2 linked regions of the Alligator mississippiensis genome follow. The protein of the gene in region 2 interacts with the protein of the main gene of each other region in a pairwise test. Links are inferred from orthologs where the notes say so. Each region holds a gene or a part of one and is shown on either strand. Other genes may lie near its edges.

Region 1 (7,851 bases), on a different chromosome or scaffold from region 2:
GAAATCAAATTGATTTTAATCATGACTTAAATCACAATTTAAAATCACTGGTCAGGAAGCCTCAATTTAATTGCCGTTTTCTACAAATGTGCATTCTTGTTGATATCCTTTATTCATTTAACATCTTGAAGCTTTGCACTTTTAGAGAAAGATAAGGACTTGACTCTGTATACAAACTTGCAGAGACAAGACTGAAGAGTAGGTAATCATTCACGTCTGTTCTCTCTCATCTCTATATACTGCTGTTAACAAGGATATTATCTCTGGAGACAAATCCACAGTTTGACAACTGAAACTAAGCATCACAGAGATGCTTAATGGGATCTTCTAGACTGAGCACTGAGTCCCAGGAGAGTGGGTTTCTTTAATCTTTATTAATCTACAGAGGAGCCAACAAAAACCCCGTAAGATTGGACCCCCAATATAGTCCATGGCCTGTTGTGACCTATTTATAAAACTTTTCTAGAAAGGTTATATAAACATATCATCTCAAATAATATATAATTAAAGTTAATTCCTATTCCATGATGATCTCTTTGAGCTTTAAGAGATCTTAAATTAAAGCTATCTTGACATTAGATTTTTTTTTATTTAATTGTATTTAAAAAAAATTTTTTTTTGTTAAGATGCTTTAAAAAAACAAAACCTAATTTAAATATATTTTTTAAATGGTTGATTTAATTAATTGACCCTGCAATACAGTTTTAGGTAAGCAAAAAAAAAAAGGGGGGGGGGGGAATCTTGTAAAGGAAAGACTACCTGTTTAAATAATTGTATTCAAATTTTTCTAGTTTGTGTCCACCTTTAAAAGGTAAACAAAAAAAATGAACTACAAGAAGGGCATTGCAGATATTTAAAAACATTCAAGTCAGTAAGAACATGTGTACAGATTTAAGCATAAAAAAAAAAAACAAACACTAAGCCCTTTATTTATAAATCAGCTCCTCCTTTCCCAATACTGAGATCCTACCTGCTCTCCCCACAGGGAGCAGGGCAGGTGAGGGGAAAATGAAAAGAAATATCTTGGAGCACCTGAAACACAATAAATAGTTGGAACCTGCTCTTGCTGGTATGGAGTATAGTTCCATATGAAAGAGCCTTTAAAAATAAGAACATTTGCATACTAAACAGGCCATTAGGCAATCAGTTCAGTTGAATTCATTTCGCTCTCATATTTCTGAAGACATGAATTAAGCAGCAAACAAACCAGCAAAAAAACCAAGTGAATATAAGCCAGCCATAATGCCTTCCTGCATGTTCACTACAACAGGTTTCATCATGCTTCACAATTCAGATGAAACCCCCATGTGAGAACACAGTGGGGATAAACAGGAAAGGCAAAGCAGTCTGTGAAAATCAGCATAATCACCACAAACAGGAAAGACAACCACATACTACCTTCCAATATGGCACAGAAGTTTGGGAAGACACCTTGGGATTTCACGTACTTGATAGTCCCACCATTACAAGCTAACATAGAACTTCATGCAGCATGTCATTTGCCAATATTCAAGTGGCCAGCACACCACAAACATAATTTTTCTACCTAAAGACCTGAATCACCTAATAAGGAGGTAATGTTGCAGGGCAGCAAAGCACATTACTGTACCAAAACCTCCCATGAATGAAAACCATTGTGAAATGTCTCCTGTCCCCTCCCCCAATACCAAATACAAGATTTCCCAAACAAGAGCCAAGGCCGCTCTCTTTTTGAGCACTCCTCCCATCTGAGCTAAGAAACATTTTCCAGTTGGAAAGAGCTCATACACTCCCTTACAAAAAAGCATAACATCTGGTTAAGTTACAATAGGTTTCTTCGTATACAAGAGTGGCTCATGATCTCAGTATCCCATGACCTCGGCATTCTGTGCAGACTTAAAAATCATCCTTGTGGCAAAGCAGGACAGAAATGCTGAACTCAGCCACCTGGGTGTATAATGATATTACTTTCTCTAGAAAACACCAGCACCTCTCTGTTGCTGAAGCCGTTCACTCAACAGTTAGCCCTTAAAACACTCCTAATCTATTAAAAGCCTATTTAATCTCATTTTGCCTGCAGTTGTGAGCCGTCTCCTTACATTTCCAAACCAAAAGGAAAAGGTTTGGCTCCCCCCATGGAAAGCAGAAAAAAAAGCAGCAGCAAGAATTGGGAAAAAAGCAGCATCAGTGCCATTTTCCTCCTCTCGCACCCCCCACATCTCCTGCGGCAGGGGGTGGTTTGATTGCACTGTTTTGATACTTGGGCTAAAGGTTGTGCCACTCCTCTTTGACGTCTCCCTACTTATGGGAAGTGATTTGTGTGCGAGCATCACATGCTGCTTGGGGGGGGGAGGGGGGGGAGAATAAGAGAGAGAGAGAGAGAGAGAGAGAGACCATACCAGAAAAAAAAAGAAACAAAATGAGAGAAAGAAAAATGAGCAGCATTTTCCCCGGGCGAGCCGAGCCCCGGGCGACCACCGCATGCCCAACTCCGCTCGCGGACCTGATGCGCGGCTCCGCCCGTGCCGGCCCGGGAGGGGAGGGGAGGGGAGGGGAGGGGGCGCCGGGGCAGACATTCGTGCGGGCGGCGATGACTCCCCATTTGGGGGTGGGGGCGAGCGGAGACTTCGCCGCTCTCAGGACGGGCGCTAGAAGCATCCTCAGCCCGAGCCCTCCCCGTGCCCGACGCCCGCCGGCTACCCCAACGTGCCCGCCCGGCCGCGGGGAGGGCAGCGCCAAGCGGGCGGCGCCGTCCCTACCTTGCTGAGGACGCCGCAGAGCTCAACAGGCGGCCCGGACTCGGTCTCGGGGTCCTCCTCGGAGCCGGACGAGTTCCAGCTCTGGTTGTCCGACATGGGGGCCTGACCCGCCGCCGCCACCGAGCAGGGAATCGCGGCGCGGCCCCCGCTCACCGCAGCCGCCTCCCGCCGCAGCCACTGGCTCCACCTGCGCGGTCCCGCGCCCGACCTGGCTGCACCCGCCGCGGCTTGGCTTGGCTCCCGCCTCTGCGCCGTGCGGCCCCAGCCCGCAGCGAACACCGGAGTCGCTGCCGCCGCTCAGAGCGCCGCCGCCGCCATCTTACACAGGGAGGTCGCTCCGTGCCACTATTTACCAGCCCCCCCTGGCCCGCGCCGCGCCGCGCCGCGCCCCCGCCCCGTGTCACGGCCCGCGCCGTGCTGCCCGCCGGGCCTTGTAGTTTCGCGAAGGCAGCCGAGGGCGGGACGCCTCGGTGCATCTTGGGAGTTGCAGTCTTTCTCCGTCCTGGAGCTGAGCATGCTGGGAGACGCAGTCCACCGCGGGAAAGCAGTTACACTGGGAGGGGAACTGGCAGCCGCCATCTTGGCTCCACTGCCTGGAACTGAATGTGACTTTTCCGGTCTTCAGTGTGGTGGGGCCCGATTTCCTGCCTCTCCTCACAGAGACCGCTGTCTGCTACCTTGCCCGGCTTCGTAGCTCTTCTCCAGGCAGGAGAGATTCCCCGTTCCCCCACCCTAGCGCAGGTGTCGGGAAGCTGGTGCCTGCCTAGTCTGCGGTCTTTCCCTTAACAAACATGGCGGCCGCGGCGTCACGCCTCCCGCAGGAAGGGGCGGTCCGAGCCGGCCGGCTGAGGGAAGGTGCCGCCGGCTCACAGCTGAGGCATCGGGGCAAGCGATACTTCCTGCGGTCACAGGTAACGTGGCCGGCAAGCGGGTGGGCCCTGCGTCCCCAGCCGTGTTCTGGGCGTTGCCTCGTCTGTAGCTCCCGGGCGAAGACACGGGAGCCCCGCCCCCCCGCCTCGGCCGCCCCTTCGCCCGGCAGCGGTGTCCCCGGGCCCTGCCTCCGCGCGGCCTCTTCCCGCCGCCTCTCGTCCCCGGCCCGGTGCCCGTTGGTGCCGAGGCTTGTCTGGACCCAACCAAGAGCCGCGCCTCGGCGGGGGCGCAGAGCTGCCACCTCTTAAATATAAAATTATCGAATTGGAAGCTCAAAATGATCGTATTTGCCAAACAACTATTGTACACTGAAAAAACACGCAAATCAGTATGCCAGAAAGTCGTTGTGGTCTTTACTTTAATTCGCTGTAACCCGCCAGTGATGAGTAAGACCTGGGTCATTCAAGTTGAAGCTTTTCTTTATTTTGAGGCAAGCTGTCATAAGAAAGTGCTGACAGCAAGCCCAAAAATTGGTTAAGACTCCCTGACAGTGGCTTGGGTTTTGCATATGCTGCATCAATTAGCTGCTTCAAATGTATTGTACATTTTGAACACTTTCACCATTATTGGTTGTATGTTGCACAAGGGTTGAAGATATACAAATATGATAATTATTGTACACCTGGCAACAGTGGTGCAGCATCAGCTCAAGGTGCTTGGGCTGCATCAGCTCGCGTGGCTGCCTCCAGCCATGGAGGGCCCAGGAGCCCAATCCTTGCAGCGCCTGGGCAGGGCTAAGGCATGCAAGGCTGATGGCTGCACTGGGACCCACACATGCCTGTGCGAGGGCAGGCTCTGTCCCTGGCTCACCTGTATTATCTCTACTTCTTAAGGCGCAGGTCTGCCCTCAGCTTGCTTGGGGTGCGCAGTCTCATTGGAGAGGGGCAAGGTGGGGTGTGCAGGTGGGGCTGGGTAGCACTTTGGGGACAGACTCGTTCAGAAATGCATAAGCATTCATGACTCAAACTTAAACTCAGTTCACTTATGAGAGGCTGTGACCAGATAGCAGCTTCATTATGTGAAGCTGACCATTACTTACGAACCCTTCTCCGTTTCTGAATGAGTTTGCCTGCAAGGTGCTGCCCTGCCCTGCCTTCAAGTAGACTCTTTCACATGAACTCACGGCTCCTGATGATTACAGTGAATGGAAAATGTGTCAGGCACGTGGACGGATGTAAGGATTTTGAACAGGCTGGTGCAGATGCTGAGGTGGGTCAGCACATATAAAATAGACCATATTTTTTTCCACATAAAAATAAAAGCTTTGTCAATAGGCTGGGGGGTCTAGGCCTATATTATTCAGTTTAAGATTGAAGCAAAAACCAAAGTAACTTCATTGGAATGAGTTAAAAGCTCATGAGACAATAAGCTGAATACGAGCCAACAGTGTGCCCCTGTTGTGAAGAAGGCTAACAGCATACTGGGCTGCACTTCCAGCAAATCCAGGGAAGTCATTCTTCCCCTCTATTCAGGCCACACCTGGAGTACTGTATCTAGTGTTGCTGCCGCGCCTCCCCCCCCCCCCCCCCTGCACACTGCAGAAAGGATGTGGACAAATTGGAGAGAGTCCAGCAAAGGGCAACCAAAATTGTTAGAGGCCTGGGACACATGACTTCTGAGGAGAGGCTGAGGGAACTGGGTTTATTTAATTTGGAGAAGAGAAGACTGAGAGGGGATTTAATAGCAGCTACCTGAAGTGGGGTTTCAAAAAGGATGGAGCTAGACTGTTCTCAGTGGTGGCAGATGACAGAACAAGGAACAATGGAAGGGAACAAGGACAGTTTAGGTTATATATTAGGAAGAATTTTTTCACTACGAGGGTAGTAAAGCACTGAAACAGGCTACCCAGAGACATGGTGGAATCGCCATCCTTGGAGCCTTTTAAGACCTGGCTAGACAAAGCCTTGGGTGGGATGATCTAGAAGGGGACAATCCTGATTTGAGAAAGGGGTTGGACTAGATGACCTCAAAGGGCCCTTCCATCCCTGACTTTTTATGATTCTAAAAGCAATCTGCAGTGCTGTGAAATAGGAGCTTCATGACCCGGAACAGCTAACAGACAGCCGAATTGCAGAAGAAAGACTAGCTTGATGGGTGGAACATCAAGACTCTTAAAAGGAAGAAAGGGTCATTAACACCTGTGGAATGAAGCATTTAGAAGGAAGTTAAAAGGAATCAGATAGATTATGAAGTATGAAGTCCATTGACTTCCTCAGAGTGCCTGACTAGAAATGCTGCTGTGACTGCCAGGCAGTTAGTTTTAAACTTCGGGTGGAACAGGAATCAGAGGGGATGCAAGTGCTTCAGTGAACACTGTGCCCCTCCCCTCCACCTCTGGTTGTACATATATACCTTTGGAAATAATCATGCAGATTAATAGTAAGGTACTTAGCATACATTAATTGCAACCGTGATGCAAATTTGCAGAATGTTGAGGGAATGGGGAAATTATGTTAGCACAGTGGAAGCTACAAATATTTTAGGATGCTTTAGATGTTTTATCTATTTTTTTATGTTTGAAATTAATTTAAAGTAATTTTTCTCTCTCTTATTGCTGCTGTCAAATTCACTTACAATTAGACTATGATCAAAAGTTTTGTCCACTGGTAACATGACTTGTTTATCTTGGCTCTCTTAACTATTACAGTGTTTCTAGTTAAATCTTAATTTGTATCCTGTATATTAATAGTCATAGCAACAAATGAGATTCATTTAAAATATAGAAAGCATAATATACTTTGCTTCCTTTACCATCTATCTTCTCTGGGATGTGTTAATAGAATGGTTTGATAAGATTTCATTAAACTTGAATATGATTTCATCCTTAAATGTGCTAAATAATTTACAGCTCTGCTCCTGCATTTGGGAGGGAGGGTGTGGAATATGAGCATGCCTGAGCAAAGCTCATCAAAACTGACTGGGCTGTGCATAAGTTGTGGGATCAGGGCTGTAGTTCAAAGAATCCCTCAAAGTGATTAAAGAAAAAAACATTAATGAAACAGATACTAGAACCAAAAAAAACCCCAAAACACCTGACTACGAAAAAGGAAAATTTTTCAAACTTTACTGTACAGCTTCTAGCTACAGGTCCAAATAAAAACAAACAACCCCCTGCCGCCCCCCCCACCCCCCCCAAATTAAAAAAGAGTTAAGGTTGAAAGTAGGCTTTTCCTGTAACCTGCCCCATTTATACTTTGCCCCAGTCCTTGATTTCCCTCACTCATTGTTATTTTGTACCCTGATAATAACTGCCTCCATGCTATACTCAGGTTCTCCATGATTCCCTTTAATGTCTGTTTTTTTTCCTGTCCTTGCCTGTTTCTTGCCCTGTCCACCTCCTTCCTGTATATTTACCAATACTGTTGACTCCGTTCTGGATATGCTTGTCCCTTGCTCCTCTTCTGTTCATCCCTGTCTTAATACCTTCTGTTTCATTCTCTTTCCATCTGATGAAGTGAACTTGGGGTGACAAAAGCTTGTGGTCTCTTAGTCTATAAATGTGCATATCTACCCTGCTTTCTCACACTCATTCCCAGTCAGAGCTGACCCTGCAACCTTCAAACTTCAGTACTCTGAATTCATCCTTCACTTCTCTGGTCTCCTGCACCATCCTCCATTCCTTCAAGCAGTTGTGTTTAAAGAACAAAACATTAATTGATTTGGTTATTTAAGCAGCTGTTAATATTTTTAATGTCTTTTTACTAAAACAGTTGTGTGTGATCCCTAGAAAACAGAAAACAATTTAGAAACTTTTTAAAAACAAGAAATTTATATGTAGTGTATGTGTGTATAGAGTTAAATGTGTGTTCCTATTTTAAAAAAGTGCGAGCAACAGTACTCTTGGCATAATGTTTCCTGATGAATTTTGACCATGAGAATTCAGTTTTTAAATGATCTTTTCTGGTTATATTATGCACTGTACAAAATTTGTTTTCTGTGGTTCGAAAGTGGGAAATAGTACATAAGCTAACCTTGGTTTAGAAAGCAAGAAAGATTGTAAAATTTTACTTTATATGACAGTTACACTGCCTATTAAAAATTGACTCAAGATAAATTATGGTAACAAGATGACAATTCTTTGACCTCAGAATAAATCTGGAGATTTTTCAAGCCAATATCAGGTTTCTAGATGAAGTTATTGGAGATCTAAAAGCAGAACTCAAAGTGTGACCTGGTTATAGCT
Region 2 (7,189 bases):
TGACACTCTTGATCCTATAAAAGTTGCCAATAAAAGGCATCCACCTCAGGTTCTGGCAGCTCTGTGCATCTCCCTGGGAGAATGCAAGGTGGGACTTTGCATTCATTTCTCACAACTGGCTTTTGAGGACCTTCTCCACAGATGTCCAGTGTCGCTGTTCTAGAAAATGTCCCAACTGCATTTGCCATTTGAAATGTTTGAGGTCAGGAAGGAATTTTCCTCCATGGTCAGACTGGTATGGACTTGGTGTTGTGAGGGGTGGGGGGTGCCTTCTTCTGTAACGGGGTGGGGCATGGCCTTTTCCCTGGGATCTCTTTGAGTGTGTATATTAACAACCTTTTATAGAAGCAGGACTTTGACCACCATTGTTCCCCCTGCTTTACCTGTGGCAGGTTGGGGTGTGATGTTTTGTATTGCATTAGGGTTGATGATAGTTTTAGGAAGAGTTTAAATTATGGATTTGTATACGATGGGTTAGGTAGGGCCAGTCCTGCCTCAAGCAGGGGGTTGGACCAGATGTGACCTCTGGAGGTCCCTTCCAGCCTGACTTCGTGAAGATACCCCAGGCAGGATTCTCATATTACTCTAGTTTTACCTTCAGTGGGAAGGAAGCTTGGAAAAGCTCTCAGACAGGTTGAAGTGAACACCAAGAAAAACCTAGTCACTGGCTTCCCCTCCCCCCCCCTTTCCCCTTCTGTCTTCATTTGTCTGGATTCTCTGAAAATCAGGGAAGGATACAAGGAAAATTATTTCCCTTTACTGATACAATTTTTGTTAGGTGGAACATCAGCATAATTCCTGCGTACATCCTGTCCAGCCTTCTCAACTTGCATTCTCTGCCTTGAAGTCTCCATGGTTCAGCATGGTACCTAAGTTTTGTGTCGCTGGAGCCATGCTGTGTATCAGTTAGAGACCTGCCAAAGGTTGATGTCCCCCCACAGTCGTTTCTTCCACACTTAGCACCATCTTCATATACAGCAAGCAGCTTGTATTCACACACACTTTAAGTTGGCCAGTGATCTCTCTCGTTTGTGACCATGCTGGTGGTGCAAATGCTACATTGGAAACAAGCTTCAGTTGTGTCACTGCGTTATCTGGGGGATGGCGGTGGAGCAATATAACATGTGATGCCATCAGATGTAACTGAGGCCTTCCTGTCCTTCCAGTGGGCAGACATAGGCAGCCCCCCTTTCTTTTACCTATGGCAAATTAGGGTGTTCTTGGTGGTTTCGGGCTTTGTGCCTGGTAGTTGGGTGAGTAGGTTGTTTGTGCAGTTTTTATTTGGAATGAGCTAGACAGATGTGCACGGTATGGTTTAGATAGGGCTGATCCTCCCTTGAGCAGGGGTCGGCCTAGACGACATCCTGAGATGCCTTCCAAACCTAGTCTTTGATTTCTCAAACTCTGTTAACACCCTAATAACAGATGATTGCCATGCAAAGTAGGAATATACTGTATTCTCTCACCCAGAATATAAAGCACACTTGTTTTTGAAAGGTAGAATAAGGCGGGGTGAGTAGCAGTAGTAGTAAGAAACAGTAGCAGCAGCAAGGGATCCCAACCTGTTCATAGCTCCCTGAGTTGCCTGCAGATTTTACTTTTACTTTTGCCTTTAACTGGGCAGAAACTGCTCTTACTGTATTTATCACATATAATGTGCAGTGCAATTTACAGCAGCTTGTTCTTGTGGGTGAACCATGCATAGTATATGTGAGAAAATATGGTATTTGTGTTATACTTAACCAGCATGTTGCTTCCTTCAACTGGCTGAAAGTGGCCCAGTTTTCCAGACTGCACAGATGAGCAGGAATGAATGCCTAGGTGAAGGATAAACTATTAAAGCAAACCCATTTGTTTTTCCGCTTTAATTATTAGCTCCTCATGCCATTAATTTGCAAAGCAATTGGTGCTATAGTAAGGTATTTCTCTGCATTTTAACTTTATTCAGATGAAACTTGGAGGCTTATGCCTTGCTTCATTTGTGTGCATGTAAAACATTCCTAATTTTTAATGCTAACAGGCTCTTCTGATCAGCTCCAGGGGAGGCGTAGCATCTCGTAGAAAGAGACTTTCTACTATAAAGTTCTGTTCAGAGCTCCACCTCTTAGCAGACCTTTTGCTCTCATTAGTCTTGATAGCAAGGGTTGTTTTGGAGCTAATCAACACAGTTGAATCCACTTAGGAATTGCCACCGTATCGATGCAAATCTGACGAGTCTCCTCTCTCTCTCTCTCTCTCCTCTACCCTCCAAGGGTTTACAGCATCATAGCTCCTTTCACAACCACACTTCCAAGCATAGGAGCATTTCCCAAGTGGCAGTGTCACCCAGACTGGTGCCCGTGCCAGTGAAGTCATAGGCTGCACACAGAGAATCCACTCTGGGCACATCTGCTTAATTACAGTGCCTGGCGTCTTGTCCCGAAGCTCAAGGCGGGGTTAGGATGTACTATAGCCCCGTAAACATTTGTGTTTCAGGTGAGTGGCGTCCCTGATACGACTCCACCTTGGAATGACATAACCAGTCTCCCTTTCAAGACCTTGACCTGAAGTGGGGCTGTCATCCTAGCCCCCGGTGCTCTTGGCTACCAAGCCTACCCACACGCCAGGGTAGGAGAAAGGAGGAGGAGTTTTTCCTCACAACAGAACAGTGATTCTTCTAAGCAAGGTCCTTCTAAAGGTGCCACACACTATCAGCACTTAGTTGTGCAAACACCCGCACATGATTCGCAAGATAAAACAGAGACATCCAGTAGGAATCCTGAGGATCCAAAACATCCTGTCGTGGTCTTTCTGACTTCTTTACAATAGAAGAATTGCTCTATTTTTTTTTCATGGTCAAGAAATAAGATGCATCCTCTTGGCTTCTCTCAACCCATGATGGCAGATGCCAGGGAGAGTAACGCATAAGAGAGCGATCACTCAAGGTATACCTGGTACTTTGGTCTCCCTCAGAATCATCCACTCCTGGCACCATTGATAGATGGGTTGCTGGACTAGATGGAGCAGTGGTCTCAGCTAGAACGGCACCTCTTATGATCGAAAGCTAGCTGGCATCTTCCAAGGGGGGGCCTTGATTCTAATGAGGTTGAGAACCACTGCAGTAGAAAAGCAATAATGTTACACTAGGATGTCTTATGGAGGCTTCTGTTTTATCCAGGGAAGCCCAAACAAGTTCCTCTGAGCCATATGCCAGTCTATTGGGACATTAGTGATCAGGCAACATTTTCAGGAGCAGCTACATACAGCTAAGCATACATAAGTTCGCTCACTACCAGATAGGGACGAATCCAACCCCTCAGAGTTCATCCTCATGGTCAAGGCAAATTCCAGACTCTCACCGTTATGTCTTGGTGTAGAGGGGTTTTATACCTTTCAGGTTCAAATGTCTGTATTCCCACGCATTTCTCTTTGAGAGGGTGATCTCTTGGCCGGTAGAGTAGAGAGCAGGGAAACTTTCCTAGGGTCACCTTATTAGCATTGGGTGCGATTGCTGGTCTGTGCATCTCAGCTCCTTTGAAACTGTCCCTCGCCAGGTGCCTTCTCTCTCATTCTAATCATTGTCCTTCAGACTGACCTGTTTCTAGGAGCAGAGGATCTGGGAAGAGGAAGGTAGTGTGCTCCCAGCACAGGACAAAGGGGTGAGGGGTGTTCAAGACGTACTGCTTTTTGTGGTCCAGGCCAACCAGAACATCGAAGCTCAGCAGGCAGCGGCTGGACCTTTGGCCTTTTCAGGCTCATCTAGTAGTCACTTTAATTGGGGTGATTTGCAGCTGTCTCATTTGGATCTGTACCATATGTCATAGCATCCCCCTCGGTGTCTAGCACAGCATGCCTGAGATCCTCTTCACCCACCCCTGGTCGCTTTGCACACTTCAGGTATGGAGGCCCCCACCTTGTCGTTTGCTATCGGTCACAGCTGCTCGAAAAGTCCCGCTGTACATTGCAGTTTCTTGTGTCCAGTGGCTTTTCTGTCCTGTGACTGGCAGTGCTGTGCATGTCTGCCAAGGCTGGTGTCTTGGGCCCTCAGTTTCTCCCTCCCTTCTAGACCCTGAGAGCATGTTGCCTGTTTCGCTGTTAACCTTGTAACTACACTGTGAATCTCTCCCTCTCTCTCAAATCTCTGGCCTCAGAGGGGACTGCGTCTCCCCTTTCTGATAAGGCATCTTCGCCGGCGGATAGTGAGCCCCATGCCCTAACGAACATGAGGGTGGAACTAGCAGTAGACGGCAAAACGATGGTGGATAGCTTCCATGGGCCTAGCATGAATTCTGGAGTGGAGGCAACCTCTGTGGGTTCCCCAGAAGGCTCCCCCTTTTCCATCGTAGCGGAGCCCCGTTCTCACGGCCCAGCCATTCCAGTTGGTTTCCAAGAGCAAACCTATTCCACAAGCGATGTTCAGAGGGGGGATGACCAAGCAGAGCAGAAGGACCAAGGCGCTATGGACCAAAACAAGCCTGATGCCAGCAGCGAATCCAAATTTACTTTCTTGATGGAGCAAAAACAAGGTATTGAGCAGCCCGCTCCCAAAGACTCCATCTACTCCTCGGCCCAGCCTGGTGGTGAGACTGTGCTGGAAAAGGATTCTCCCGAGTCCCCGTTCGAGGTCATCCTGGATAAAGCAGCATTCGACAAGGAGTACAAGGCCTCGTTCATTAGTGAAGCCAACGATCTCGGTGGTCCCTGGGTGGTGCATGGTGAGAGAGAGCAGCTCACTGACATTCCCGAGGATCGCGTCTGCGAGTTTGAAGCCAAACCACGGCGGGGCAGCAGCGGCAGCTTCCCAATGGGCGCTGGCCTCTCTCGTCAGTCTTCCTGCACCACAGCTGCCCTGGAAGAGGTGTCCAAGTGCGTGCGCGAGATGCATACCTTCACGAATGAGCTGTTGACCTGGGACTTGATTCCCAAGGTGGAGTCTGCCAACAAGGTCCCTGAGTTGGATCTGTCAGAGTTGCCTTCCAAGGATGCCATAGATAGTCCTGCCCAGCCAACAGGAGAAGAGAAGGAAGCATTTAAAGCAGCCTCCCCTTCTCCCATCAGCATCAGGGTGTCCGCAGACTTGTCGGAGTACCAGTTCGAGCCACACTCTCCACGAGGCCAAGTTGTGGATCTGAAGACCTCCGGACCTGCCACTATCGATATGAAGGCTGATGTTGCTTGGACAGGCACCAGCCTGGTTGAAACAGCAGATGCAGACAGCTCGGGAGAATCTGACGACACGGTGATTGAGGACATGACCGCAGATCTGACCTTCAGAAGTGGCAAGTTCATCCTCCAGCCTGCAGAGAATGGCGCAGCTCCAGCTGGAAAGCCAGCTATCAGCCCTATCACCACTGGCGAAACCAGAGACTGGATCATTGCCGATCATGAAGAGGCCCCCACAGAGCTGCCTGAAAAGGGCATGATGCCCACCAGGACACCAGAGGACCACCGAGGATTCATCGATGACTTTGAAACACTCCAGGCTCACCCCGATATCAGGGGGAGTCCAGTATCTGAAGCAACACTTCTCAAGTCTTCCACTCTGGACTTTACACCCGTAGCTGCACAGCAAGTGAGCCGCACCAATTCAGTTGGCGTTGTGAAGCCACTTCAAGCTGGTGGAAAGCCTGATGTTCCTTCTAAAGAGCCTATACATGCACCAAGTGGAAAAGCCCCCTCACATATTACAGAAGGCCAACAGCGTCCAAACACCTTGAACGGGGAGAGCTTTGTGGACTTCATGAGAGAGTGCCTGAAGTCCAAAGGCAGTGGCGACTCCCCAGAGGACCTCACAGAAAACTTCTTGGAGGCTGAAGCCGTAGCTTCAAAAACTGCACCTTGCAGAGACAGAGCATATTGGTCAGAGGTGAAGGAGAGTCGTGAACACACTGAGAGAGACCTAACCTACAGCGGAGGCAGTCTCCAGAAATCCCCTTTCTCTCCAGGGTCCCCCACCACAGCCCAAGATCTGGAGCAGGAGCGACTAACGATCAAGGCCCTCAAAGAGCTAGGTGGAGAAGTAAATGAGAAGACATCTCCCACATCAAGCAAAGTCTCCCCGGTAGAAGGAAGAAGGGCAGCCTATGACCCCAACACTGGGACACCCCCTCAGAAACCCACCTTGGAGAAGAGGCCACTGTGTGTCCAACAGCCTATGGACCCCAAGCCAACTCCCATCCCTTGTGTTGGCACCGATGACAAAACCCCCAAAGAGCCCATCTGCGTTGGGCCGGCCCAGCCTCCTGTAGATCATGCTCTAGTGAGACTCCTGACTAAGTTTTCAGGTAAACCGCTCATTAGAAGTACAGTATCTCATTTGTTTGTCCAATGTTTCTCCTGATGCTACAGGTAGATATCTTAGGTCTCTGAAGGAAACCATCGAACGTGTTTCCTTCCTTAATCTTGAGCTTGCAAGAGTTCTTCCACTGTTCCTCCAGTGTCTTCAGCCCTCTCTATGGTATCTGAGCACCTTCTGTGTAAAATCTCTTGACCTTGATTGAGTTGGGGCATGCCTCTCTTGCTGGGCCGTCCGTGACTTTGTTGGGGGAGAGAAGGGGACCTTGTAGGGAGGTCTTTGGTAATAAAAGACCCTCGTATCCCTACTCCATTTACTGCCAAACCAGTCGATACAACCATCAAGAAATAGCAAATTCTCCATGTCACAGACATCCCTATTAATAACTCGCAGTTCCCGAGGCTTCCGAAATCACGTGTCGGGCTTAAAAAAAAATTGACTCTCTTCAGCAAACACAAGCGTTGAATTTATTGTAAGAGGTTATTGTGAGTGTTTCTCTGCAGAAGATAAAGGGTTGTTGGTGGGGGGAGCGGGTTGAAAACGGTCCTGAATAGAAGCTTTTGTTCACACTCCCCACATGTTTATGCTGGAAAGATGAATTTCAGGCCTCATCTTCAAAGCTTTTTCATGTTTGGACACACAATAATAAGGGGGTTTTCTTTTGCTGGGGGGGAAGAGATTCAGGCACAGATTATATAAGGTTCAATTGGCGTCCAGTCAGCATGGAACCGGTGACACAACGAAGGCTTCTGTTAGCGCAAGGAGCCGTGGGCTGGGCTGAAGACCTCTTGAGCGACAGCAAACAAAATGCAGAGAAGGCTAACGGCATGCTGGGGTGCATTAATAGGAGCATTGCCAACAGATCAAGGGAAGGGATTACTCCCCTCTATTCAGCACTGGGGAGGCACATCTGGA

What was found. The genes of interacting proteins can lie anywhere in the genome.
Region 1: the proteins of RTN3 (region 2) and CERT1 interact in binary tests that used the Homo sapiens proteins (3 or more experiments, as listed by UniProt). The link is inferred for Alligator mississippiensis from reciprocal best matches to the Homo sapiens genes RTN3 and CERT1.

What each region holds. Positions count from the first base shown.
Region 1 is NC_081826.1:254,408,355-254,416,205, forward strand, and holds the start of CERT1 (ceramide transfer protein), read right to left. Parts: upstream 3,036-7,851; 5' UTR 2,835-3,035; coding exon 2,739-2,834; intron 1-2,738. UniProt on the Homo sapiens protein: Shelters ceramides and diacylglycerol lipids inside its START domain and mediates the intracellular trafficking of ceramides and diacylglycerol lipids in a non-vesicular manner.
Region 2 is NC_081838.1:4,720,951-4,728,139, reverse strand, and holds the start of RTN3 (reticulon-3), read left to right. Parts: upstream 1-4,166; 5' UTR 4,167-4,201; coding exon 4,202-6,263; intron 6,264-7,189. UniProt on the Homo sapiens protein: May be involved in membrane trafficking in the early secretory pathway. Inhibits BACE1 activity and amyloid precursor protein processing. May induce caspase-8 cascade and apoptosis.